Mus musculus: one gene and its partners. The protein of the gene in region 6 interacts with the protein of the main gene of each other region in a pairwise test. Links are inferred from orthologs where the notes say so. Each region holds a gene or a part of one and is shown on either strand. Other genes may lie near its edges. The genes, in order: Pqbp1, Tfap4, Kifc3, Magoh, Patl1, Golga2 and Scnm1.

Evidence for each region.
Region 1: the proteins of Golga2 (region 6) and Pqbp1 interact in binary tests that used the Homo sapiens proteins (3 or more experiments, as listed by UniProt). The two-hybrid records come from large-scale screens. The link is inferred for Mus musculus from reciprocal best matches to the Homo sapiens genes GOLGA2 and PQBP1.
Region 2: the proteins of Golga2 (region 6) and Tfap4 interact in binary tests that used the Homo sapiens proteins (3 or more experiments, as listed by UniProt). The two-hybrid records come from large-scale screens. The link is inferred for Mus musculus from reciprocal best matches to the Homo sapiens genes GOLGA2 and TFAP4.
Region 3: the proteins of Golga2 (region 6) and Kifc3 interact in binary tests that used the Homo sapiens proteins (3 or more experiments, as listed by UniProt). The two-hybrid records come from large-scale screens. The link is inferred for Mus musculus from reciprocal best matches to the Homo sapiens genes GOLGA2 and KIFC3.
Region 4: the proteins of Golga2 (region 6) and Magoh interact in binary tests that used the Homo sapiens proteins (3 or more experiments, as listed by UniProt). The two-hybrid records come from large-scale screens. The link is inferred for Mus musculus from reciprocal best matches to the Homo sapiens genes GOLGA2 and MAGOH.
Region 5: the proteins of Golga2 (region 6) and Patl1 interact in binary tests that used the Homo sapiens proteins (3 or more experiments, as listed by UniProt). The two-hybrid records come from large-scale screens. The link is inferred for Mus musculus from reciprocal best matches to the Homo sapiens genes GOLGA2 and PATL1.
Region 7: the proteins of Golga2 (region 6) and Scnm1 interact in binary tests that used the Homo sapiens proteins (3 or more experiments, as listed by UniProt). The link is inferred for Mus musculus from reciprocal best matches to the Homo sapiens genes GOLGA2 and SCNM1.

Annotation. Positions count from the first base shown.
Region 1 is NC_000086.7:7,896,201-7,900,453, reverse strand, and holds the start of Pqbp1 (polyglutamine-binding protein 1), read left to right. Parts: upstream 1-1,453; 5' UTR 1,454-1,683; intron 1,684-1,817; coding exon of another isoform or gene 1,818-1,836; coding exon 1,837-1,903; intron 1,904-4,041; coding exon 4,042-4,153; intron 4,154-4,253. Other genes in the region: Timm17b (mitochondrial import inner membrane translocase subunit Tim17-B), read right to left, coding at 985-1,010. UniProt on the Homo sapiens protein: Intrinsically disordered protein that acts as a scaffold, and which is involved in different processes, such as pre-mRNA splicing, transcription regulation, innate immunity and neuron development.
Region 2 is NC_000082.6:4,556,921-4,561,175, reverse strand, and holds the start of Tfap4 (transcription factor AP-4), read left to right. Parts: upstream 1-1,455; 5' UTR 1,456-1,659; coding exon 1,660-1,748; intron 1,749-1,788; exon of another isoform or gene 1,789-2,511; intron 2,512-2,518; exon of another isoform or gene 2,519-2,589; intron 2,590-3,218; exon of another isoform or gene 3,219-4,184; intron 4,185-4,192; exon of another isoform or gene 4,193-4,255.
Region 3 is NC_000074.6:95,099,328-95,101,942, reverse strand, and holds the end of Kifc3 (kinesin-like protein KIFC3), read left to right. Parts: intron 1-425; coding exon 426-534; intron 535-1,269; coding exon 1,270-1,274; 3' UTR 1,275-1,296; intron 1,297-1,490; coding exon of another isoform or gene 1,491-1,516; 3' UTR 1,517-2,115; downstream 2,116-2,615. UniProt on the Homo sapiens protein: Minus-end microtubule-dependent motor protein. Involved in apically targeted transport. Required for zonula adherens maintenance.
Region 4 is NC_000070.6:107,878,441-107,882,554, reverse strand, and holds the start of Magoh (protein mago nashi homolog), read right to left. Parts: upstream 2,801-4,114; 5' UTR 2,698-2,800; coding exon 2,610-2,697; intron 1,663-2,609; coding exon 1,604-1,662; intron 1-1,603. UniProt on the Homo sapiens protein: Required for pre-mRNA splicing as component of the spliceosome. Plays a redundant role with MAGOHB as core component of the exon junction complex (EJC) and in the nonsense-mediated decay (NMD) pathway.
Region 5 is NC_000085.6:11,932,899-11,936,398, forward strand, and holds part of Patl1 (protein PAT1 homolog 1), read left to right. Parts: intron 1-596; exon of another isoform or gene 597-730; intron 731-781; coding exon 782-841; intron 842-2,780; coding exon 2,781-2,929; intron 2,930-3,500. UniProt on the Homo sapiens protein: RNA-binding protein involved in deadenylation-dependent decapping of mRNAs, leading to the degradation of mRNAs. Acts as a scaffold protein that connects deadenylation and decapping machinery.
Region 6 is NC_000068.7:32,298,326-32,301,825, reverse strand, and holds part of Golga2 (golgin subfamily A member 2), read right to left. Parts: intron 3,227-3,500; coding exon 3,188-3,226; intron 2,941-3,187; coding exon 2,878-2,940; intron 2,795-2,877; coding exon 2,701-2,794; intron 2,623-2,700; coding exon 2,516-2,622; intron 142-2,515; coding exon 83-141; intron 1-82. UniProt on the Homo sapiens protein: Peripheral membrane component of the cis-Golgi stack that acts as a membrane skeleton that maintains the structure of the Golgi apparatus, and as a vesicle thether that facilitates vesicle fusion to the Golgi membrane.
Region 7 is NC_000069.6:95,131,213-95,135,263, reverse strand, and holds the start of Scnm1 (sodium channel modifier 1), read left to right. Parts: upstream 1-1,251; 5' UTR 1,252-1,368; coding exon 1,369-1,419; intron 1,420-1,635; coding exon 1,636-1,706; intron 1,707-1,975; coding exon 1,976-2,064; intron 2,065-2,152; coding exon 2,153-2,247; intron 2,248-2,350; coding exon 2,351-2,439; intron 2,440-3,237; coding exon of another isoform or gene 3,238-3,277; exon of another isoform or gene 3,278-3,458; intron 3,459-4,051. Other genes in the region: Lysmd1 (lysM and putative peptidoglycan-binding domain-containing protein 1), read right to left, coding at 268-447. UniProt on the Homo sapiens protein: As a component of the minor spliceosome, involved in the splicing of U12-type introns in pre-mRNAs. Plays a role in the regulation of primary cilia length and Hedgehog signaling.

The DNA of each region.
Region 1 (4,253 bases), on a different chromosome or scaffold from region 6:
GCGTCAATACAACTGTTTTTGTCATTATCAAAAATCAAATGGCTTTGGAATCTAGGTCCCCTGTCCCCCACAATCTGTCTCTTGCTTAAATCAACTACTCTACCACTGAGCCCCTATGACTGTTTCTGACAATACAGTATTCTCAGAGAGTTCTACGTGAAACTAGATTTGAAGAACAGAGTCCCTCAAATCCTAGAACCAGGAGCCAAAAACAAAATGGTTTTTGTTACTATCAAAAATCAGTAAGAGTTGTCATGTGCCTGGCAGGGGTGGTTCACGCCTTTAATCCCAGAACTTGGGGGGCAGAGGCAGGAGGATTTCTTAGTTCAAGACTACAGAGTGAGTTCCAGGACAGCCAGGGCTACACCACAGAGTAACCGTGTCTGGGAGGGGGGGGGGGGAGTTGTCGTGTCAGGCTTCAATAGTGTTAACTAGCAAACGTTATTTAAGTAAAATATAAACAGGGTGACTGACACTCGGTTCGACACAAAAAGCACGTCCAGAGAAACCCTTGTGTCCTTTTAAAACCTAAATCGGACAAATCAAAAGACCGTGCGGAAAAGCCAGGTGCCATCTGGCTTAGCCCACAGTGAGTTCACACATGCCCTATCCTATGTCAAAAGCCAGCCTGAGAAAAGCGACACGAAGAAACCCTGTGGATATTGGCTCCACGCCTCTCCTCCCTCACCGCCGGAATGGATCTGCCCAGCGTTTCTCTTTTGGCTCACAAAGGGGGTCTAGGAGAAGAGCCAGGGCAACAGTGCGATAGTTTGTCCCACACCGCACATACTGGGACACTCCACGGTGGCGGTTTTTTGACGAAGTCCGAGTGGGAGGGGCCATGCCGGATGCGCAGAGGCAGTGAAGTTTCCGAGCCTCCCGGGTCAGGGACTTGACACTGCAGCCCCTGCCTTCCCCGCCCGCCTCCCGTTGTCCGCCTGAGCGTCGCGCGGACTGTCCCGAAGCCTGTGCCCATCGCCGTACCAAGGTTCGCGAGCGTACTCCTCCATGGCGCCAGAGTCCGGCCTGGCGCAGTCGGTGGCGCGGGCGAGACACTCCCCCCGTCCCCCTCCCGCTCCGAAACGCCCACAAGCTCTGAGGCGCTGTACGTAGACCAAGGGAACAATTGGTTCTTCTCTGCTTACGTAAGGCCAACGGCGCGCTCTTATTGGCTAGCCAGAAGGGCCACATCCGTTCCATGTAAGCGTCGGATGCGACCAGTTAATTGCACCTGGGGAGAGTCGAGGAGCCTGTTGTGCTTTAAACCAAGAGCCCTTCGGTGTTGGTAAGCACTGTGCCAATGAGGGAGAGGAGGGTAAGGAGATAGACTTTGACTAATCGCACAGTTGTACTGGTAAGGCTGGGGTGTAAGCTTTCTTTTAAAGCTGGAGATGGCGTTGGCATTGTATCTCCCCCATCCTAGCGCCTTGGTTCCGCCCACCGTGCGGACTTTGAGGAACGTTGGGTGATCCCATTTCTGGGTTGCGGGTGTGTGGCACTTGGTCCCTTGGGTGATGGGTGGAGCCTTGGTCTAGAGAGGAACTGGGTCTTTGGTCCATCCGGTCTCCAGTGCCTGGGTCCGGAGAGTTCTGCTGATCCTAATTCTGGCCATATTGCTACATATCTCTTTTATCTTTTAGCACGCATTTTTGTTCTCTTCCAGCTACTGTTGCAGTTACGTAGGTGTGTGTGTGTGTGTGTGTGTGTGTGTGTGTGTGTGTGTGTGTGTGTGTGTGTGAACACACGCGTGGTTACTGGCTATCCAGATTGAAATGTTAATCAGATCTGCCCTTCAGTACTGTCTTGTCTGTTTCTAGGTCTGGTCAGCTACCCACTATGCCGCTTCCTGTTGCGCTGCAGACCCGCTTGGCGAAGAGGGGCATCCTCAAACATCTGGAGCCGGGTGAGAAAACTAAAAGCAGATGCATCTATCATGTGCCAGTGTTAATAGACGTTCTGCTGTTTATTCTATTCTTTATTCCCCCTTTTCTCCGCCCCCTCCCGCCCCTGTCGAACCTAGGTGTTTGCTAAGTAAGTGCTCTGCCATCTTCTGCCGTCCTAGTGTGCATCTTCCCCCGCCCCCTTGTACTGCTGGGGTTAGACCAGAGCTCTTGGATGCGCTCTATTGAAGTATATCTCCTTGACTGGCACCTTGGTTTTGATACTTGGTATCTTGCATGGCCTGGCAGGCATCTCGTTGTCAATATAATTTTTTCTGATATTCATTACTTCTTCGTGGTTGGTGGGTGCTGTGTGAAGTGTAAGGCTGGAGGGATAGCTTTAATTTAAGTCATGAATCAAGTGGACACGGTGGCAGGTACAAATATCTCAGGTACTAAGGAGGCTGAGCTACAAACATGGCTTGAGTCCAGGAGGTCAAGGCCAGACATGGCAATTTGGCAAGACCCAGTCTTCAAAAAATAAAAAACAAATAGACATAAGTATGGTGGCATTCATCTGTAGTCCCCAGCATGGCTGGGGCAGGTAAAAGGGATCACAGGAGACAGCCTGGTTTACATACTGAATTCTAGGCCAGATATACATGTGTCTGTGTGTGTATGTACACATGTATATATGTGTATATATATGTGTGTGTATCAGAAAATAAGTAAAATAAACCCATGACTGCATGGTATTTAACTAATTAATGTTTGAGACATGGTCTCATTCTGTACTTCTGGCAGGCCTGGGACCCATTCTGTATATCAGGCTGGCTTTGCATTCATCAAGATCTGCCTGTCTCCGCTTTCCTAATGCTAGGATTAAGGGTCCAAAAAGGCATCTGATCTATCCTGCAGTCTCCTATGTGCCAAATACAGTGACAGGATGCTGATGCTCTATGTTTACCTCAGCAGAGGTACTTGGGTGATGGGCACCATAACCATTAACATTTATTTAAGGCTGCCTAAGTGCCTGGCACGTATGATATGCTAACAGTCAAAAAAGATGATCTGGGGGCTGGAGAGATGGCTCAGCAGTTAAGAGCACTGACTGCTCTTCTGAAGGTCCTGAGTTCAAATCTCAGCAATCACATGGTGGCTCACAACCATCTGTAATGAGATCTGATGTCCTCTTCTGGAGTGTCTGAAGACAGCTACAGTGTACTTACATATAATAAATAAATAAATAAATCTTTAAAAAAAAGATGATCTCTTAATAAGATTTACTGTATTACTAGGTGCTAATTATACATTATTGCCAATAGTAATAAAGTGGGGCATGAGTTTTGACCTATATGGTGTGCTAGGCACTGGAAAAGTACATCATATTATTGTATGGACAACTGACATCTATTACAAGACTACTTTGTGCCAGACATAGACTTTGTGCCTAACAGTACTAATAATGACCACTGATATTTGTTTTCTTGGGGGTGTTAGGATATGAATCCAGGGCTTCAGGCAAACCCCATATCATTAGTGTTTCTTTTAAATCTTTTTGAGTACTGAGCCCACTGCTGATAGTGTTTATTAGCAATATGGACAATCATACCTGACATCTCTTTTGGTGTCACTATGATGTTGTAGGCACATGCATTTTATTGTTAATTATACCCAGAGCTTAAATCTGTTATGTGCTTACTGATGGCCAGGCACTGGGCTGATAAGAGACACCATCTTTATTCTACTATCACTAGATGTCTGCTGCAAGCTTGCTGTATATCCGCCCCTAGGAATAGAGTCAAAGCAATGTTTACATCAATTCCTTGTTATCCAATATTCATGAGCCAGAAACCCATTGAAGTTCAGGATATGGATAGATTAGCCATTATTTTAGGCAACCCCCCTACTGTTCCAAGCCATTTCATTGAAATACGTTGGGATAATACAATGCCACATGGTATCTGAACTCAGGAATTGATTGGATATCAAATTTTTGAAGATTATCAACGCTGAGCATGTACTTCTGTCTTCCCTGCATGGTGGTGTAGATGTGAGTGGTCAGTCATGTCTCCATGCCTGAGAATAGGAGGAGAACCCCCACACACACACCATCACTATCGGGTAATTCAACTGCTTTTCTCCTTCCCCATTCTTCCAGAGCCAGAGGAAGAGATTATTGCTGAAGACTACGATGATGATCCTGTTGACTATGAGGCCACCCGGATAGAGGGTCTGCCACCGAGCTGGTACAAGGTGTTTGACCCTTCTTGGTGAGCCTACCAACATGGTGGGATGGACTTCATGGACAACATGGTGGCCTTGCCCTTCCTGTGTTCTCTCTTACTGTGGGTCGAGAGGGACGAGATGTGC
Region 2 (4,255 bases), on a different chromosome or scaffold from region 6:
ACAGCCCAGCCGGCTAGGAAGTGCTGCTTTTCAAGTTACGTGTCCCTGGGATTAGATGCTAATTGATCTGGCATCTACAGTTAGAGATCAGGTTGGTAATATTGAACAATGTTTTCTAATAATACCCAACAATTGTTATAAATAGAAGTATTTCAACTAAGAGGCTCGATTTGGGTGGAACCTTGGAAGGCAGCGAATGGGTCTGGGAAAGGCGCTGAGCTGGAGCGAGGACATTCCGAGGCAGGCGTGGGCTTCCTGAGCCTGGGGCCAAGCCCTCCAGGAGTCTGGGGAGGGCCGGGACCGGAAGGTGGGGGCGTGTCAGAGGACGGAAGCTCACCCCTAAAACGTCCCCTCCCTTGCCCCAGACCACCACTCCCCCCCCATTGTAGAGCGCGCCCTCTGGCGGTGGAGCAAGTTTTATCCCGCCTTCCCCATGAATGAGAAGCTGCAGCCCGCTGCGCGCGAAGTCGGAAAGTAAGGTAGTGAAAGAGGCAAGACAGGACCTGGCAGCCACCACCAGACCTCTAATGGATATTCGGACCGCGCTGGCAGCCTGCCTCAGGGCCGCTGCTGTTCTGGCTTGCCTCCGCCCTTCCCTTCCTTCCCACTTGCTCTCTCTTCCTATGGCAGCCCCAAACATCCGAGGTACCTTGCGCACCTGCCTGTACCCTTCGCAATCTAATTTCCTAGCACCAGTCAGAGTTTGGGCCAGGCAGCCACCTGGGTAAAGACGGAGGGAGGAGGCTGGCGGGTGGTCAGAGTCAGCCCCAAGTTACTTGTGGGAAACAGTGGCTATGACGCAAGTTTCCAGGGGGCCCGGGTCGGCTCGAAAGGGAGCGCGCCAGAGTGGCTCTGCTCCGCTCCGTGCAGTGGCAATTATGAAAATGCAAAAGCCTGAAGCACACACCCAAAAGAGCCTTCCCTTTGCTGCTGCAGCCCCGCCCAGCGCGTCCTCCAGGATAGCGGTGCGCAAAGACCCCGCACTGGGCAGTCCTCACCGGACCCTGGACTGCACAGACTGGGATCCCGTGCGGTGGGGCTGGCCTTTTTTTTTTTTTTTTTTTTTTTTTTTTTCTTTTTAGCTACGCTTGCCAACCTGTCAGCTGATGGACCTCATCACCCATAGTGGCGCATGTAGCTGGGCCGCTGTTCACTCCATTCACATCGTGTCCCCCCACAGCCAGCTGTCGACCCCTGATTCCTGATCCCAGGGTTAAGTCTGCAGACCCATGTAGTAGTCGGTCCCAAGGAGCTTGCGCCCTTCTCGCCCCAGCATCCAGTCGCCCTGGGGGGGGCGCTGCAAATAGTCCTTTGTTTACATGCAATTCCTTACTCCGCGGAAGGAGGCCGGGGAGTGCTGAGTTTTCACCAGCTGTTTCCCGCCTTGAAACAGACATCTGATCAGCTGCAAACACACACACACACACACACACACACACACACACACATACACACGCCCGGGGAGGCAGGCTGGAGAGACCTCCCGCCCGCCCCTCCCGCCCGCCTCCCTCCCCTCGCCGCTGCTGCTGCTGCCGCCAGCATCTGGGACCGGCCGATTCTGCACCTCCGTCCGGCGCTGCCCTTTGATTCGGATTTCCATCTTGCATTCTCCGGCTGACCGCGAGACCTGGCTCGTGCACAGGAGGGGGGCCTATCGCTATGGAGTATTTCATGGTGCCCACTCAGAAGGTGCCCTCTTTGCAACATTTCAGGAAAACAGAGAAAGAAGTGATAGGAGGGCTCTGTAGGTGTGTACTGCTCCTCCCCCCAACCCCTTCTTCCCATTGCAGCCCCCGGCCAGCCCGCCCGGGCGGGTGCGCGTGTGCGCACGCATGGCTCGCGCCTCCGAGCTCGCTCGCCTTTCTTAGCTACTGGGTCCGCTGCAGTCTCTGGAACCCTGCTTGCGTTGCCTAGGGACCCTCTTCCCTTGGAACGTGGGGACCCCGAGAGGTTCTGTCCACTTTTGTCCGCTGCAGGCGGGCGAGTCGCGACGTTTGTAAATTGCAAACAGACCCACGTGGTGCTGCAGCAGTCCCGGCCATGCTTGCTGCTGGTGGCTTTCACCCAGCGCTTCCTCCTCCCCCCGCCAGCTTTGGCTTCCTTCCTTTTCCTTGCTTACTCGCGCTTTCTGGGAACCCTCTTCTAAGGAGGTCGTTTTGGGGGGGGCCCGGAGTGTGCGAGAGGACAGCTACAATGCTGCCATGCCGCGGTTCCAGGCTGCGGGGAGGGGGGGCGGGGAGCCGGGTGGTGTGAACGTTTGCAGAGAACAGGGCTGCAGCAGGGTTGGGGGCGTGCTCGCTCGAGGTTGCGAGGCGTACGTGGACCTTTAGTGGCCATGCTTCAAGCAGGGAAGTTGCGGTCCCCCACACGTTGGCAGTCACTAGTCGCACGTTCTCCGCCCGCGCTCGGGTGCTGTTTACTAGCGAGGCCTGGACGTGACTCTGCAGCCCTCTTGGAGTAGGCGGGCCTCTGCGCGCACGACCTCACGGGAGCTGTAGTTCTCTATGCCGGGTCGGTGCTGCATTGTGGGACTTGTAGGCGCTTCGGGGCCACGCTTTACTTGCACAAAGCTCGGCCGTAACCAACTAGGTGGGCTAAGCAGGCCAGGTGGGGAGGCCTTTTGATGAGGGTGCGTCTTAGGTTGCTTCAGGGCTCTAGTCTACTTCCTGTTGCATATGGGTCTGCAAACTTTGCTGTCCCACTTCTGTTCCTCAGTCATAAATGCAAAGCGTTGAATCTCCTGGTCGGGTGGGTGGTCGGAGGTCTCTCTTGAGATACCCCTTAGTGAGCTTGATCCTACCTAGGTTGCCCCAGATCCACTCGCTACTAAATCGCGATTGACCAGTGGCCGAATCTCTCTTAAACTCTTGTTAAATCGTCATGTCTGAGATTTCTATTGCCGGCCCTGGTATCTGCTCATTGAACCCTACAAGCCGGCTGGGTCCGGGCGGGGATGGTGGTGGTGCACGCAAGGAGAGGTTTCTCCAGCGCGCTTAAGTTTGAAACCGACGATCTCTTTCCTGCCTGCCGTGCTACTCTAGGAGCGTAATGGCTCCCCAGGGCTGGGGCCACGTGCTCCGACACCCCAGCCAGGCAGGGCTGGGGCTGGAGGAGGAGGAGCCCGCTGAGTGGCATAGGCTGGTTGGTAGACAGCAACGCCTGTGGGGCAGGTTGCTGCATAGGTATAAAATCCAGGTAGGGATCCCACTTTACTTTCAAGTTGAGAGCCAATACCTAGGGCCTGTTGGTGGGTCTAGCAGCTGGCAGCCCCCTCTAATCCCCCCCCCCCCAGCTGGCACTAAGATACGGTTCACCTGAGGGCCCAGCAGGTACAAAACAGCAGTAACTAAACTCTTGGACACTAAATATTCTGGGGACCTACTTGCTAGAATTTTCTCTTCGAATCACTACAATCTTGCTGTGAGTCCATTTGTTTTCTGATTTCTTTGTAAAGCTGGAGAAGCTTTATAAAGCTAAGAAGGCACCAGTTAGAGCAGATATTCAGCTGGACTCGATTCCTAAGTTTGCTGTTGTGCTGGCTCCTCTGAGCTGGCTTGGGGAGTGGGGAGTGAAGCCTGATTAGCTCCATATTCTGGAGAGGTCATTCTGGTGCTGGTCCTGCATTGGCTTTGACAGTAGGAACCTCTGGTTGCTATGCCTAAGCCTTTCGGTACTCTTGTCTTCACTCGGTCCCTTTCTCCAGACCTGTGTTGCTGGAGGGCAGTAGACCTGCCCCGCCCCCAGGAACATAGGGTGTTTTCAGGTCTAGTAATTGAGGCACCACAACCTGCCTACAGGCACACAGGTCCTTAGCCTGTCTTGCTTACAAGGAGACAGTTGTACACTGGGCATGGAGGAACATAGCCTCTAGGCCTGTTCATTTTCAGCTGGAGCAACAGCTGGGAGATCTGTCCTGGATGGAGTGTGGGCTGGGCAGGAGCTTATGGTGGATGGACTCTGGTTTGTTTCAGACTGTGGACTTTGCTCCACCCCTCCCTGTTTAGCTGGGTTCTCTCTTGTTTGACTCCTATGCCTTCTGGGCCAACCAGAAGGAGCCATAGGGCAGTGTGGCACACTTTGATGTTTTGCTTGACGTTTTGGACCTTCTGCCTAATGGTTCTGTGAGACTTGGATATAGGCAGTGCCTAGAAAGTGAGATCCAGACTCTAAAGAGCAGGCGCATGGTAATGTCCAGTGGCTGTGTGTGTGTGTGTGTGTGTGTGTGTGTGTGCAAGTGTGCGCATGTGCATAGGTG
Region 3 (2,615 bases), on a different chromosome or scaffold from region 6:
AGTAGGGAAAGGGCAGACAGGCTGGTGTAGTGAGAGTAGAAGCTGCCACAAAGGTGGGTGAGGCCAGAGCTCAGGCGTGCTTCTGCTTTCTTGAGACGGTCTCACTATGTAGCGCTGACCGGCCTAGAGCTTGCTTTGGAGACCAGGCTAGCCTCAAACTCAGGAGACCTGACTGCTGAGATTAAGGGTGTATGCCCGTGACCCCTTCAGCCATCTTTGTCTTGGAGACCAGCAGTTGCCCATGGTAGATGCATTTTAAATTGTAGACAATGTTTAATTCCTGTCCCGTGACTTCTCAGGGCGGCAGGGTCATTAGTCCCCTCTGTAGATGAACAAACACTGTCAGAGAAGGGAAGCAGAGTGGTTGGAGATGAATGAGCTGGGGCAGCCTTGGCTCCCACACCCACTGGCATCTCTGCTCACAGTGGGAGCCGGCTTGCCAGACACCACAGCCTACAGCACGAGCCCACTCTGCCCCTGGCTCTGGGACCAGTAGCCGCCCAGGTTCCATCCGAAGGAAACTGCAGCCGTCAGGTAAGCCTGTCTAGAAGTGGACTGGATGGGAGGGCAGGAGGGAGCCAGGCTGTCCTTTCCTAGCTAAGGATAAGCTGTTTTATAAAGAGGGAGGAAGCAGCCTAGGAGCCAGGCCTAGCGGCTTCAGCCTGGAATCTCAGCTGCTCGGGAGGCTGACACAAGAGGAGTGGAGATTTGAGGCCAACCTGATCAGTAGTTTCCAAACAATCTAGAAAGGGTAGTTGGGCACGATAGTTTGTGCCTTGTGCCCCTGGCATTTGGGAGACAGAGGGAGAGGCAGAAGGAGCACGCTCTGAACTAGCATGGTTTACACAGTGAGGTCCAGGCTAGTGGAAGTTACATAGCGAGAATGTACCCCACAAAGGGAAGCTGCCTACTGAGCATATGGGAGCCCTGGGTTCCATCCTCAACTCCATAAAACCATGTTTAGAACTCGTCTCCTTCCCTTGCCTGCCTTGGGCAAGAGTCAGAAAGCTTTACTAAATCCCTGGAAAGGGACAGAGGGCCTGGCCCTAGAGGCTCCTAGCATGTGCTCCTGACTTGAGGCCCACACTGTGTATATAGGAGCCCTCACCTTGGTGGGGCTCCTCTGGTACCTGATTCTACCCACCTTCCACAAAGCAGTCCAGACATCCCCGGTGGAAAAGGGGGCCTGGCCCCTCACTGGGTCCAAAGGGGGTGGTGGCAGCTGGGCCAATCCCTCCCCAAGTGAGACATCTATCACTTTGATTTCAGCCTGACAGCTGGGGCTGCAGTCTCCAGGTAAGTGGGGGTCAGCGGCCTGGGGCTGCCCACCTGCTGCCTGCTGTTGGTTCAGGGCTCTGCCAGGGCTCTTGTACAGAGCCAGTCCTGCCTTCTGCTGCCCTGTCCATGTGCTTCTGCTGGCCTCCTGCATCTGCTAAGGGCAAGCCTCCTGAGGCCAGAGGCTGAGCGCTCCTTTTCTACTTTTTCTACAGGGAAGTTGAGGCCAGTGCCTGTGTGAAGATGTGCCACGCTGCCAGGCCCTGTGGCCTGGCGACCTGCTGTAACACCCACCTACCATGAATGCAGGAGATGGAGGCTCTCCCGCCCTGCCTCTCCTCAGAGATGAGAAACATGTTCAGAAGGAAGCGAGTCTCTGTGTGGCTCTGGGCACCCAAGCATGGGGCTTCTGGAAGGGCAGGGATGGCACTCTGCCTGGTGGTAGGCTTGGGAGTCTAGCCGTTGCTGGGAGGGTGGGCTCTCTCCCCACCTGGCCCTTGGGCTGGACTGTTCTCTACTAGTTGAGAAGACTTGAGGAACCAGCTGGGGGGTTAGGGAGAGCAAGAGCATCTCTATCTACCCTCCTGAGGAGGGGAGCCCTCACAGGGCATGTATATAATGTTCTAGGTGTATATAGAAGTCCTCACCCTGTCAGAGGTCTGGGCTATATTTATGGCTGGCAGAGGCCAGTGTGGAAGGGCTGGGTTCTGTTCATCTGCCTGACACCAGGCACTCTCCCTGCCCACTGATTCTCAACATGTTCCTCTCCCCAAATCCTATTTAAGAACTTTTGGAAGCTTAGCCATTTTTACTTATTAAAATGAATGTCTTTTTACACAAGTGCAATCTGAATCGTCAGTACTGGGAGACCCTATGGAGAGTGGGCATTGTGTACCCTGTTGCTCCCGTTGCTGGCTGACCATGCAGACTCCACAAGTTGTCACTGAAGACACTGTGTCCCCCATGCTTTTTATATCATTTCTAGCACCTTGCGGGCCCCTATAACCATTCCATCCCATTGCAGTATCACCTCATGTTACAGAAGGAAAACTAGGCTTCAAAGACCTGCTCATCCTGTGCCAGCCTTTCCTCCCAGTCTGGAACTGTAACTAGTAGTGACCTGATGTATGCGTTTGTATCTGGTCCCCGGTCCCAGCCCTGGAGAACAGGGCTTGCTAGGGCTCCTCCCTTCTTGCTGGCTGCATCAACAGGCTGTTCTGGAGCGCAGACTCTCAGGGATGCCACAAGTATAAAAGTAGTTTCCTGTGGCCTGTGAAAACCACTCTAGAATCTTCCAAGGTCATGCAACCATCGTGGTCTAGTCTCTGGTGGCATCCAGA
Region 4 (4,114 bases), on a different chromosome or scaffold from region 6:
TCAGCAGAGGAATTGTGGGCCTCCAATGTCTGTGTGTTTCTCTCCTGGTGAGAGAGGTCACTGCGTGGCCACACACCCATTCTCACTACTGCAGCGGTGTTTGGATTTTGAACCTCTGGAGTGATGAGCTAAATAATCTCTTCTTTATTTTTGAGAATTTCACTGAGCCTCACTGGCTTCAAACTTGCTATGAACTAATTATTTCTTTTAAAAAGGCTTTTTCAGGCAGAGTTTCTCTGTACAGACCTGGAACTTGCTCTGTATATCAGGCTGTCGTCAAACTCAGAGATTCGTCTCATTCTGCCTCCCGAGTGATAAAAGTCTTATACCATCACCACCACCATTACTGAGTCCAACTTGAATTTCTAATCCCCATGCCTTCAACTACAAAGTCATGGAATTGCAGGTCTGTATCATTCCTGACAATAATCCGGCAATAGCCTCTGTCAGATATATTGTTATAGTGGTAACAGACAACTGATACACCCTGCTGCTTACAGACAAGGTTTCATGCCTCGCAGCCTGGCCTTGGTGATCTTAAACTTCTGAGCTTCTTGCTTTCACCTCCCCAGTGCTGACATATAAACATGGCTACCATGATCAGTTTCTGTGATGCTAAGGATGAAGCCCAGGGCCTCATGAAGACAAGCACTCTACCAACTGCTTCTGAGGAGCACTAGGTCATGCAAACAAACAACCCAAACCAAACAAAGAGAAAAAGATATGATGCTGATTCGGCATAAAATTAACTGCTAAATTGTATGAAGACATACTGTCATATCCTTAATGATATAGTAGAAATCCCAGCAGAATGGAACACATGACCTTTACTGAGATTCAGATATGCCCAAATGCCTATCATTATCTCTTACAAGCAAGAGTAACTATCCTCAGATTTAATATCTAGGCCATGATTTTCCTGATTGAAAGTATGGCAGAATACTTTGTCACATGGGCTTTTTATAATCAGGATTAAACAACATATTGTTTGAACGAGGTTATTCACACTCTGAACCTAGATGGGTTTCCACAGTAAAAGGAGGCAAAATGATTTGCTCATCTATGAGTACGCTGCCACCCCCATCCCCCGCCTTCTTCCACTCCCCAGTGTGTGGATCAGGAGGGGGCTCTGAGGTGGGAGAGTAGTAGTAAATGTCTATGGTTTAGCTCTAAAGAGCGTAATTCGAGGTTGAGACTTTCCCCTGATCCGTTTCCTCTTCAGAAGCAAAGTCAATGCTGTCTTCATAGTCTATGTACTAGGGACTAATATATTTAATTCTATGATAACATTTGGGAGTCACAGGTAGGTTTTCTTATCCTTTGTTTTACAGATGAAAACACAGAGACCAAGTTCAGCCAGAGAACTTGTTTTGAGGTCACATGGTCAGTATGGGGCACACCGAGGGTACAAACCAAGACACACAGATTTCAAACACTTACTAGCTTTTGATTCAGCACTGGGGGGGGGGGGGGAGTGAATCAGAGAAATAATCTAGCTGCTTAGAAATAAGTGCTCGCTTCCTACACTTCATCTTTCATTACCAGAGAGAACATAAGCAATGGGAAACCAAAGGCTAAGTCGTAGTGAAGGAAAGGTCTGTACCTCTTTCCTGATCATGACGTCATTTTTGTAATTGCTGTTGTTGGCGTATCGCAATTTACCTTCGGAAGAAAAAAGAAAAAAAAAAAAGAATGCAACGTATTAGAAAACATGAACAAAGCACCATTACCCTCCAAAGAATATGAGCTTTGCCTAAATTATATCGAATGTTTCAACCCATTTCCCAGCTGTGATAGTAGTGTTTTTGGTACTTCACTTGAAACTACTGAACAACAGAAGAAGGACCTGACAGTAAACTAGAGTCCCGGGAAAAGGCTGCCATGATGTAGCAAAAGAACACGTTCTCAGCTGTAAACAGGAATTTTAATGCTATCTTAGCTGCACAGAGAAGAACATGCTGATGTTCAACTGGGTTGGGAAAGGACTTTGAAAACTAAGGAAGCTGTATGCAAGCAAGCACTACAAACACCTGTATAGCGAGGCTCTTGACTAACATCACCCCCTACTACTGTCTCTCAGTCACCCCAGTGACCACCTGGATATGTCTGGCTCTTTGAGGTCCTATGACACTTGCTACTCCTGTAGATGCTTTTCTTCCTGTACTTCAAAAATTGATCCCTTTTCAATTACGGCTTAATTCAAATTCACACTCCTCAGACTGCTCTTTAAAAGCGACCTTACTTTTTGATCACTCCACACTACAAGAGATCGCTGTGGTTTCTTCCGGCTCTGAAACACATGTTCCACGAGAGGGGAAAATTTATTTTTGTTGCTCTGTCCCCAGACTGGAAAACAAACAGCCCATTCTCAGATGGACATTAAATCTTTGTTGAATGTAAGCAACCTGGCTTTTTAAAAAGCTACGAAGGAGAATCGCCAGCGGATGAAGAGAAAGAACCAATGAAGCCGACAAAAGAATGCCTCTTTCACGACCCAACAGCACGGTGGTCGGCGTCCCTTGCTTCGCTTCGCCACATTCCGCAGCCCGCCTTCTCTCCGCCCTCCCCGGGGCCGGTCCCACTGCCCGCAGCCGGGAGGCCGCTCTTACCGTCAGGTCGGAATTCAAACTCCAGGAACTCATGACCGAACTTGCCTTTGTGGCCCACGTAGTAACGCAGGTAAAAGTCACTCTCCATGCCTCGCAAGGGACAAGGAGGACGGAACTTTAGGAACGGATGACACTACCACGGCCTGCGGTCTACGTCTTATACTGGCGTAATGGTGGCGCGCGGAAATGACGTCTGCCACCGCGACACTAAGAGTTTCTCACTCTCCGGAGGCGGGAACGAGATTACCACGCCCCCTCCCCTAGACGCTGGGTCAAGATCGCCACGCCCCCTTGGTTGTATATCGAGAGTTCTGGAAGATCTTGGGATCCGAGAACTGCATCTGGGTTTCAGCCCAACACTGAGCGCTAGAGTCCTGTCAGGCGCAACCTCAATTTAAAGAGACAAGTGAGTCGAACGAGGTTATTCACACTCTGAACCTAGATGGGTTTCCACAGTAAAAGGAGGCAAAATGATTTGCTCATCTATGAGTACGCTGCCACCCCCATCCCCCGCCTTCTTCCACTCCCCAGTGTGTAGATCAGGAGGTGGCTCTGAGGCGGGAGATTAGTAGTAAATGTCTAAAGAGCGTAATGAGAGTTTGAGACCAGTGGCTGCATACTAAGACCCTGTCCCGAAAAATAAAGTTGGCTTTACTTAGCTGTCTTTTAAGAATGACTCCTTTCCCATTCCACAATGTTGCCTGAAACTTGCCTGCATTTAGCTAACATCCCTTTCTGCTATTTCTTTATTTTACGTGTAGGCAGAGTACTGCTACCTGATCCAGACTGACCTGAAACCACAAACCCTCCTACCTCATCCTCACGAGGGTCACCACTCATGAACGAGTTGCCTTTCATTCTTCCCTTTCAAGCTAACATGTCTAGATAGGTGTTGTGGGTCGGTTAAATGAATGTTGGATCCCTACTAGGCTTTTTTGTCTTGTTTTGTTTTGTTTTTCGAGACAGGGTTTCTCTGTGTAGCCCCGGCTGTCCTGGAACTGACTCTGTAGACCAGGCTGGCCTCAAACTCAGAAATCCACCTGCCTCTGCCAAGTGCTGGGATTAAAGGTGTGCGCCACCACCGCCCGGCTCCTACTGGTCATCTTATTTAGCAGCGATTCTCAGCCCTAGCCACATGCTGACAGAATCCAGTTTCACTGAAGCCTCTAAAAAAATACCCAGGTGAGAACTGGGCATGGTGGCCAATGCCTTTGATCCCAGCACTTCAGAGGCAGAGTGGAGTAGACCTCTGTGAGTTTAAGCCTAGACTGCTCTTTGCATAGTGAGTTCCAGGCCAGTCAGGACTACCAAGTAAGATACACACACACAAACTGAAACAAAAACGAGGTGGGTCAAATGTGGAGACCACTACCCAAGAGGTTCATTTTCAAGAGCCAAAGTTGACCTCTGTGAAAGGTCAAATTTCTGGTGCGGGAATTTTAAGGTCAAGTAGGTGAAATACGGTAAATTCTAGTCATAGAAGATTGACACACGACAGGTGTGGT
Region 5 (3,500 bases), on a different chromosome or scaffold from region 6:
AATTGGTGAAGGGTGAGGAAGGAGGAGGGTAATCTCTCCCTCCATGTGTGGTAGGGTCTGCTCTCATGCCTCCAGGGCCAGTTCTACATAGCCTTCCCAACCCATCCCTGTAGTAGCTCAAGCCAAGACCCTACCGTGGTCTCAGGTGGCAACACCGGCTACTAACCTCAGGCTGTTCCTCACTACCCTCAGGTCTCTAGTTGTGCCTGTCTTCATTGTGCCCACATCCCTCTATTTATCTTTTCTTCCATTTCTCCACCACTTACTTGCTCTTAGTGGTCTTTGAGGGTCTGGGATCATCTGAGGAGTGGTGTCAGAGTGCTGTGCCTCACTTGTGCGTTATGGTGCCTGGCAGGGGTCCTTTTGGGCATGGTCTGCACCTCCCAAGCCTGTGTAGCTCTGGACTGGTTGGTGCTCATCTCAGGTTAGCTCCCTGTCAGGGGCCCCGTGATGCCAGTCTGGTAGTTGTTTCTGGCTCACTCCTGCTTGGGGCCAGAGTCCCAGACAGGGTTCTTCAAGTTTTTGGCTTGTTCCCCATCCTGGGAGTTCATCGGGACTTGCCTGGCACCTGATTGGTAGTTGTCTCAAGCTAGCGTCTTTTCAGGCTACTAATCATTCAGATAGTCATAGGTCAAAGCACTGAGCATAGACATAGACTTTCTCCTCTCTGCGCCTACTGACACAACTGCAGGCACACAGCAGCCACATTTGTAGTGCTTCTAAGGGCAGAGTAAAATGTTCTAAAGAATTTTTACTGAATAGTCTTTTTTTTTTTTTTAAGGAAACAAAAGAAAAACAAGTTCGGGATAAGAGAAGAAAAACCCTTGTTATAATTGAGAAAGTAAGTTTTAGAATTTATTTCTATATTTAGTTTCAATTTAAAGGACTATCAAATATATGTGTACCCAAGAAGTAGAAGAATGATCAGTAAACCAGCATTTTTTATTATATTACACTTTATGTATGGGGTGGCATTGTGCATGAAGGTCAGAGGACAGCTTGTAGGGCTGGGTTCTTGCCTTCTGCCATGTGGGTTTTGGTTCTCAAACTCAAGACTGGCTTGGGTGGGTAGGTGCTTTTTGCCTGCTAAGTCATCTCACTGGTCCCTGTTCTTTTATATTATGTAAGAATTGGCTTGTGGTAAGCTCTTGTTGTTTACCAGAGTATTTAGAAGTGATTGTGCTACATACCTTGCCTATGGGATCCTAGAAAGAACACTGCACTGGGGTTTTGTTCACTGCTCTTCAACTAATTACTTTTGAGCAGGACACCTTTTGTGATATATAAGTGTGTGTGTGTGTGTGTGTAGGTGTTTACTCCAGCTTGTGTGGAAGTTAGATGATAACTTAAGGGAGGCAACATGCGGCTCCTTCCAACACAGATGAACTCAGGCTGTCAGCAAGCACCTTTACCCATTGAGCAATCTCATCAACCCAGGTCATCTTAAGCCTAATTAAAAACAGGAATAGTTGCTCATGAACTGATTTAGTTTTACATCATTTATTGGGTGAAATGAGATTATACATATAGACTGTCTATAAAGCATACACCATGTTCAAGACTGTAGAGCTGCAGACTGTCCCTTTTCGGAGTCTGTAACCTGAGACTGAGTTATTTATACTTTTATGCTGTCCTCAGTTTCTTTGTGGAGACAACTATAGTAGTTTTGTTTTGGGGTTGAGTTTGCGATGAGTTGAATACCTGTGAACTGCTTAGACTACTGGTGTCAGCCAGTAAAATTAACTTTTTACCTGGTTGGTGGTGATGCACAAAATCCCAGCATTCAGGAGGCAGAGACAGGAAGATCTCCCAGTTTAGCCTGATATACAGAACGAGTTAACAGGATAGCCAGGGCTACACAGAGTAACCCTGTCTCAAGAAACGAAACAAAAAGAAAATTTGCTTGACTAGCAAAATATTTATCAGGAATCCAGGGTGGTGGATTTTACTCCCAGGGCAGTTTCTAAATGTGAGGACTACATAGTGAATTCCAGAAGGACTACAAAGTGAGACCCTATCTAAAGATTGCCAGGGCTAGAGAAGATGGTAAAATGTTTGTTTGAAGATCAGAGTTTACATCCTGTGCATTCACATAAATGCCAGGCAGGTATGGCAAGCCAATGCTGAGGAGATAAGAGATTAGGATCCTTGGAGGAACCTGGCTAGTTAGGTAAGCCTACTTGGCTACCTCTGGGTTCAGGTGGGAGATGATGCCTCAATATAGAAAGTACTGAAAGATGGAGAAAAACGGCCAGCAATCAAGCCCTGGCATCTCCACACTCTCAAACAGCCTTCTCACTGGAAGGTGGCAGTGTTACAGTAAGTTGGGTATTTCAGCCTAACATTGCTGCTAAAAGCTGGGCAGTGGTGGCGCACACCTTTAATCCCAGCACTTGGGAGCCAGAGGCAGGCGGATTTCTGAGTTTGAGGCCAGCCTGGTCTACACAGTGAGTTCCAGGACAGCCAGAGCTACACAGAGAAACCCTGTCTCAAAAACAAACAAACAAACAAACAAACAAAACATTGCTGCTAGAAATTTTGGGAAACATAATTACTTCACTATTTTATTATTTGACTAACAGTCCAAGAGAGAGAAAGGATGATGGTTAAAGGATTATATCACCATGTTCCCCTACATTTAAAGGAGCACCTTTTTAAAAATTTCTTTTGTTTAAATTACATGCTGGCATTTATACTAGTTAGTCCTAAACTGTGAAGACATTTATCTAATACTCTGGTCCTAACCTGCCATGTTGTGGCCTATTCTGTCTCTCTCCTAGACCTATAGTTTACTCCTTGATGTGGAGGATTATGAAAGGCGCTATCTCCTAAGTCTAGAAGAAGAGCGGCCTGCCCTGATGGATGAAAGAAAGCACAAAATATGTAGCATGTATGACAACCTGAGGGGCAAATTGCCTGGACAAGAGAGGTAATTATTGTGCTTTTAGAGGAGATGGGAGATTCCCTCCATTGCCAAACAAAACTCCACATACTTGGGATTATGATATACTCTGTCCAACTATTCATAAGCTTAGCATCTATCTTGGGTTTTGTTGTTTTTGTTTTGAGAGAGTCACATTGTGTGTCCCTGCCTATCTTTAGTTTCACAGAGATCCGGTTGCCTTCCAAACGCTGGTATTAAAGGTGTAGACCTTTGGTTACTTGTTTTACAACCTCTTGGAATGTGCTCTGAGTAGGAGAAAGTCTGGTTACCATCTAAAAGCAATTAACTGGTGACACTTGGGAGATTGGCACAGAGTTCTCATTGCAGCTTTGATTATTAGAAAATGACCTAATAGCAGTCCCATTAATAAAAGAGCTTAATAATCACAGATATAATTTTAGGAATTCTTATAGGATCATCACTAAGTCTTAAGTCATCTATTTGTCTATATAACATCACTACTAGATGGTACATCTTCATGCAGAGATCTGCTCCAAAGGGGTGTGCTCCTACTTAGTGATTGTTATGTATGTTTAATAATGACAGGAAAAGCATA
Region 6 (3,500 bases):
AGAAATCTGCCTGCCTCTGCCTCCCAAATGCTAGGAATGAAAGGCATGGGCCACCACTGCCCGGCCTCCTTCCCACTCTTACCTGTTCTTATACAGCTCCAGCTTGAGGGCATCCCGCTCTTTGGTTAGGTCCTTGTTATACTGCAGAAAGAGAAAGATGAGTCTGGACCTGGCAGGCTGAAGCAGCAGCTGGCACAACACCAATGGCCACGGTCATATTCCAAAGTGACATTTCCTCTTCCTAATCACATTTCTAAGTTTCATTTGTGATTCTGTGTGTTTTGTTTTTAAGGTGGGGTCACACTATGTTATCTAAGATGGGTTCAAACGCCTGGGCTAAAATGTCTTTCTGCCTCAGCCTCCCCAGTAGCTGGGACCAAAGGTCTACACTGATCATAGCCTTCAGGGACCTAAGACAGGGTTCCTTTGTTTTATTTATTTTATATGTATTCGTGTTTTATCTACATATATGTCTGTGCTCCACAAGCATGAGTTATATAAAGTTGTGAAGCACCACATGGGTCTTCTGAAAGAGCAGTCAGTGCTCTTAATTACCAGGCCATCTCTCCAGCCCTGGAGATTTTGCTTGTAATTAATAATAGTATTATTTTTTGCAAGGCTGGGATCAAACTCAAGCCATTGTATCAGCCAGTCAATTGCTCTATTACTGACCAACAACACCCCAGCTCTCTTTTAATTTTTCTTCCCAAACACAGTCTGAGGGATTCAGGTAAGCCTAGAATTTACAAGCTGGCCTTGGAACCTTCCAGCCTCAGTCTCCCGAGTGCTGAGATCACAGGCATGGTCACCTTCCCCAGTGTCACATGGTTTTTAGGAGACATATTCTCATGAAGATGGAGCTGGCCTTTCACTCCACATCTTCCTGCCCTTTTCTTCCAAGTGCTGGGTTTCCAAGTACGTTTTACTCCATCTGCTTCACTCATTTGTATTATTATTGTTGTTATTGTTGTTGTTACTACGACTACTGTTGCTGTCTTCAGAACAGAAGAGGGAATTGGATCCCATTACAGATGGTTGTGAGCCACCAAGTGGTTGCTGGGATTTGAACTCAGGACCTCTGGAAGAGCAGTCAGTGCTCTTAACTGCTGAGCCATCTCTCCAGTCCCACTACTGCTACTCTTTTTTTTTTTTTGGATTTTTTTCGAGACAGGGTTTCTCTGTGTAGCCCTGGCTGTCTTGGAACTCACTCTGTAGACCAGGCTGGCCTCGAACTCAGAAATCCGCCTGCCTCTGCCTCTGCCTCTCAAGTGCTGATATTAAAGGTGTGGGCCACCATCACCTCACTAGTAATGCCTTTTTTGTTGTTGTTTTTTAATAAGAACTCATGAGCAGGATGGTGGCAGTGGTGGCAAACACCTTTAGTCCCAGTGCTTCGGTGGCAAAGGCAGGGTTCCAAGCCATCCACGGCTACATGGGAACCATCTCAACAAAAATAAATAGAAAACAGAGAAAAACAATAACAAAACTCAGTAAAAGAGCAGACAGTTATTCTTCCAGGAGACCCCAGTCGGTTCCCAGCACTGACATAATGGCTCCAGTTCCAGGGGATCCAAGTGTCTTCTGCCCTCTGTAGGCACCAGGCACACATTTGGTGCATATAAATAAAGGCACCCCCCCCCCACACACACACACAGAGTAAATAAAGTTATACTTTTAAAAACTCCATAGGGATGAGTCAGGTAGAATGAGACCTGAATACGCTGGCCTAAGACTGTGATCTTAGCTTCTGGACAGTAAGGTGGGAGCCTTATGAAGTTTTAAAAAATTGACATTTACAGCAGGCTAGCATTGGGCCAGGAACTCTTGGACACCACTGGTGTTGTTAATATTGTTCACTGAGCACTTACCAGGCACTGTTGCTAATAATCCCATGCAATCTTCATACACATCTAGAACAGTTGCCATCACCCACACTGGGCAGAAACAGCACACAAAGTCTACGTGCTGGCCTGAAATCACTTAGGTCAACAGAGCTGAGACTTGAACATTTCGGGTGTCTAACTCTCTAGGCCCTTTCCCCTGGGGGCTGCAGATAAGCGGAGGATACTTCTCTTATTTAACTTCTATCTCAGTCTTGCTCTCCTCTGAACAGATGGCCATTCAGTCACCCTCCCCACCCAAGTTTACCAATCCTCTCAGACATGATTTGCATACACTGCACACGCACATTCTTCTCCCTCCACAAATGGCACCATCTGAAGATCTGTTCAGAGATGAGCACCCATCCCATCACTTAGCACTTGGTCAAGGCCACAGACAAACAGCAGGGTCACAGCAGGCACCTGCCTTTAGGTGTTGCATTCAGTGCTTGTTTATACAGTCCCCAGTTACCCAGCAGGGTACCCATCCCCCAGGTTGCTTTTACCAACCACACAACAAAAGCAGCAAGAATTGGCGTGGTGTATGCTGTGAGACACCCGGCCATGCAGCAAAGCCCTTCAGGCTCACTGTCCACCAGGAAGCTGCTGATGGCCAGAGAATCGACCTGTCTTACCCTGTCTGCCTGTTTCTGTTGCGTTGACACGGTAGACAGTGTCCGCTCCAGCTCTCCCACACGCTGTCGGGAGGACTGTAGTCGGCTGGCAAGATCCTCCGACTCTCCTGGAACAAGAGAGGTCCAGATGGAGCCCTCGGGCCCGCCGCAGCATCAGTACAGGCGGAAGGGTTCCCAGGCCTTACCTGCTTTCTGCCTGGCTGCTTGCTGAGTGTGGGCCAGGGCCGTCTGTAATTCTGCCTTCTCAGACACCAGGATGCCTATGGTCTGAATGTGAACCTTTGGAGAAAAGGCCACCAATGCTGAGAGAAGGGAGAGCAACACTCTCCAGAGAACTCGGGGACACTGCCCAGACCTCTCACCTGCAGCTGTTCCCTGAGAGAGCCCTGCTCCTTTGCCAGCTTCTGCTGATAATCCTTCTTCTCCTGCAGGCACAAGGAAGTACAGCTCTTAGTGGGGAAGCAGGGGTGGCCCAAGGGACGAGCCCCCAGAAAGACAAAGACACCAGGACAGGCACACCATGAGGTCAGGTTATCAAAGATCCTATGGAGGACACCCTGTGGGGTGAGTCTTCTCCAGGATAGAAGAAAGCAAGACCGAAGCCTGCACCTCTGAGGTCTCCCCAACCCCCATCAGTCATGAAAAGAGCGAACATAGAATCTATCACATTACTTTCTCCAGTTGATCCAGAGTGTCTTGGTTCTGTTGTTTCTGTGGGAAGAGTCAAAGGAAGCGGACTAGGCCTGGCCCCTTTCATGACACCCCAGACCGAACGGGAGGATGGATTTGAGAAAGGTGCTCAGAGCCACATGGGTCCATGAGCTAACCAATTCCTCAAGCTCCCAGGGTATTTATTCTCCCTGCCTCTCACTCACAACTGTGCAACTGGGTTCACAGTAAAGGAGAGTAACTCTAGAAACAAGTGTGAGAAAGATGACTACCCTCTGCCAACTTGGGACTTGGCAGAGTGTGTCGAATTAAAACT
Region 7 (4,051 bases), on a different chromosome or scaffold from region 6:
GTTTATCAGTCTTAAGTTGATAGGGACACAAGTCCAGTTAATGGCTGTAAGCCCCGCCCCCACTCACCCACCTCCCTCACCATCTACAGGAGTTGCTCCTCCCACTGGGATAGTTGGGCAGATCTGTCCCAACAGTGCTCTGCTGAGATGTGAAAGCAAAATAAGGAAGAAAAAAAACAGACCATAATAGAATTTAAATAATGTGAGAGGGGGCATCTTAGCGGGCCACCCACTTTCTCGGGACTATCTCAATTCTGGAAGACTCACCGTTACCCCGTATTTGAGTGCTAATCCAGCCAGGGTGTCTCCAGGCTCCAATTGATGCTCCAGGCGTCTTTCCCTCACTGGGGAGCAGGATGATTGTACCAGGCTTCCATAAGAACGAGCACGGCTCCCATGCAGCAGCCCTGACCCCCCGAGGGGAGGCTGTCTAGAGGGAGAAGCCATCTCCTCACTGTCAAGACCTAGGGTCACAACTGAGGGAAGCCCAGCTAAGTAACAGTGACGGCCGAACCCAAGGAATGGATATTCAGATAATTCGTTTTCTCTTCTCTCGTCTCTCTACAGTCTCCCGACTCTCGAGAGACTACATTCGTCGTCCTCCTCTTGCTGCTTCTTGCCGTGCCTGGAGTTACTGTCCGTCTCTTAAGAAGTCTGCCAGGCCGGTTACATTTCTCTTTCCACGAGCTCCTTACCCATAAGTATCTTCCCTGAGCTGTCAGTCGCTGACCCGGTTGACTTTCGACGCCCCCTCCCCAACTCCTCGCAAGCCTGATCTCTGACCTTTGAACCCTAGACACCCTCATCAACACTCTTCCCTCAGTGTATCCCCACATCCAACAGTCGGGATGCCGGGTGCTCCCACATCCTCTCTGTTCCAAATAAGGCCCACCCCAGGTAGGTTGTGGCTGAGGAGTACGAGCCTGAGGACAGCAAGAGTTTGTAGTATATAGTCCACTGAGATCCCTGACGCCTCGCTCCACATCAGGAAGGTCCCACCCTGAAATTCCGGCTCCACATACAGGATCTTGAGTCTCCGAACACCTGGATCCTTCGAGATGTGAGGTCCTGTGTCCAGGTGAGCAGTGTGCTCTTCAAAAAAATAAAAAAATAAAATAAATAACCAAAAGACTTCATTTCCCAAAAGGCACAGCGTCTCAAAGTATTGTAGGAAATGCAGGCCCCCTCAGGGCGCTGGAGGCGGGTCTTCCGGTTCGCGCGACGCAAGCGTGGAACATCATCCCCGGAAGTACAGATTCAACAAGAAAGAAACCGGAAGCAGAGAAGGCGATAGTGTACTCTTTCTACGGTGGCCTAAAGGAGCAGCGAAGTAGGCGTAGGGGAATTTATCGTAGTCTCACAGTCGCTATGTCTTTTAAGAGGGAAGGGGACGACTGGAGTCAACTCAATGTGCTCAAAGTAAGCCTTAGTGAGAGTCTGATCACCTTCAGCCGCCCTGTTGTTTTGTTTTGTTGCTCTGGCGACATCTAGGGGAGGGCTTAGGGGACCAGAACTGAGTGGTGACCCCTACTACCCTATGATCTGCATAGCCCCGTGTGCCATTTGACTCCTTATCCATACTATTTCATTTCCATCCGTCCCTCTTACTCATTTCTCCTATCCTGCTCCCTGCAGAAACGGAGAGTTGGGGACCTGCTGGCTAGTTACATCCCTGAGGACGAGGCACTGATGCTGCGGGATGGACGGTGAGAGCGAAGAGTGGATCAAGCCTGGGGATTCGGGGATCAAAGGCTCAACAAACTTTTGTCACTAAGGAGTTCAGGAGTATAATAGGACTCTTTGGCTGGAAGTGAAGTGTAAGGGGTGGAGATCGGGAAACCTGGGAGTTGGTGGTGGAGTACTCTGACAGAAGTAGGACCTACTCACCATAGCAAGAACACCCCGACTGCAGGCTCTCGAACACACAACATACACACCACACACCACACACATCATTCACTTCTCGTTTCCCTAGCTTTGCTTGTGCCATCTGCCCCCATCGACCAGTACTAGACACGCTGGCCATGTTGACAGCCCACCGTGCAGGCAAGAAGCATTTGTCCAGTAAGTATCAGAGAAGTGGGGAGGGCGGGAGATGGAGAGCAAGCCACCAGGCATTGTGCTTTTCATTCCTCCTTGCTTTTGTTCTCAGGTCTGAAGCTTTTCTATGGCAAAAAGCAAACAGGCAAGGGAACAGAGCAAAATCCAAGACAGCAGAACGAATTGAAGACAGAAAGCAAAACTGAGGTGAGAGGGCATCAGGTGTGGTTTAGACAGGGCTATACTTCACACAACAGGCTTGAGGGAACGTTTGCTCCTAACAGCTCTAACTCTGTCTCTTCATCACCAGGCTCCTTTGCTAACCCAGACTCGAATCATCACCCAGAATGCTCTACACAGAGCTCCCCACTATAACAGTTGCTGCCGGAGGAAGCACAGGTCCGTGGAATGGGAAAGCCAGGAGTGGAAAAGGGTAGAAGGAAATAGATGACTTTAAAGTTATTGCTCTCCAGATTGTATTCTGAGAAATAATAATCTTGTGGAAATATTTTTTTTAAATGATGGTAGGGGCTGGACAGATGGCTCAGCAGTTAAGAGCACTGACTGCTCTTCCAGAGGTCCTGAGTTCAATTCCCAGCAACCACATGATGGTTCACAACCATCCATAATGAGATCTGGCGCCCTCTTCTGGGGTGTCTGAAGACAGCTACAGTGTACTCATATATATAAAAGAAATCGTAAACCATCATTTTTTCAGGTTTTTTGTTTTTTGGGTTTTTTGTTTGTTTGTTTTTTGAGACAGGGTTTCTCTGTGTAGCCCTGGCTGTCCTGGAACTCACTCTGTAGACCAGGCTAGCCTCAGAAATCTGCTTACCTCTGCCTCCCAAGTGCTGGGATTAAAGGCGTGCACCACCACTGCCCGGTGGTTTATGATTTTAAAATAAATTTTTTAGCAAGTGGAAAATTGTAGAATAATCATACTTATTAGGAACATTAGGGCTTGGTGAGATGCCTCAGTGGTTAGGAACGCAGGGGGCTCTTCCAGAAGTCCTGAGTTCAATTCTTAGCAACCACATGGTGGCTCACAACCATCCAAAAGGGATCTCTTCTGGCATGTAGGTACACATGCAGACAGAGCACTCCTATATTTTAAAAAGTGCAATAAATAAATACATTCAAAAAGAGAGAATTGTAACATTAGTAGAGCACGGTGGTGTACTTTTTGTTTGTTTGTAGCCCTGGCTGTCCTGAAACCCTGCTATTTAGACCAAGGTGACCTCATATTCACAAAGATCTGCCTGCTTCTATCCCTCAAGTGTTGGGATTAAAGGTGAGCACTCCATGCCTGGCCTTGGAAAATCTTAAGACAAAAACTTAGAACCAGCCGGGCAGTGGTGGCGACGCCTTTAATCCCAGCACTTGGGAGGCAGAGGTAAGCAGACTTCTGAGTTTGAGGCCAGCCTGGTCTACAGAGTGAGCTCCAGGACAGCCAGGACTACACAGAGAAACCCTGTCTCGAAAAACCAAACCAAACCAACCAACCAACCAAACAAACAAACAAAAAACTCTTAGAACTATGTATTAGAGCATAAGGAATATGGAAAGTTACAAAACTTATGGAATATCTGTCTATATTGAGGTAATTTATTGTAATGACTTACAGTTTGTAGTCATGTTGTTGGGTTACAACAATGGGCAGCTGTGAATGAGAAGTCTAAGAATCTAATAGTTGCTCAGTCCCACAAGGCTGGTTGTTTCAGCTGGTCTTGTATAAATAGGTTCTAAAGATGTGCTTGGCAAGTAAGTGCAAGCAGTGGAAGAAGAGTGAGTCTTCCTTCTTCCAGTGGTCTTATGTAGGCCTCCAGCAGAAGGTGTGGCCTACATTAAGGCGTGTACACCACACCTGGATCTGGGACTTGCTTTGTCCCAGGCTGACTTTGAATCAGAGTTCTCCTTGCCTCCTGGGATTAAAGGCATGTTATACCTTGCCTGGACCTAAGCTTTTCACAGCCACTGTGCCTCAAGATCTCCATGCCAAGATCCAGATCAG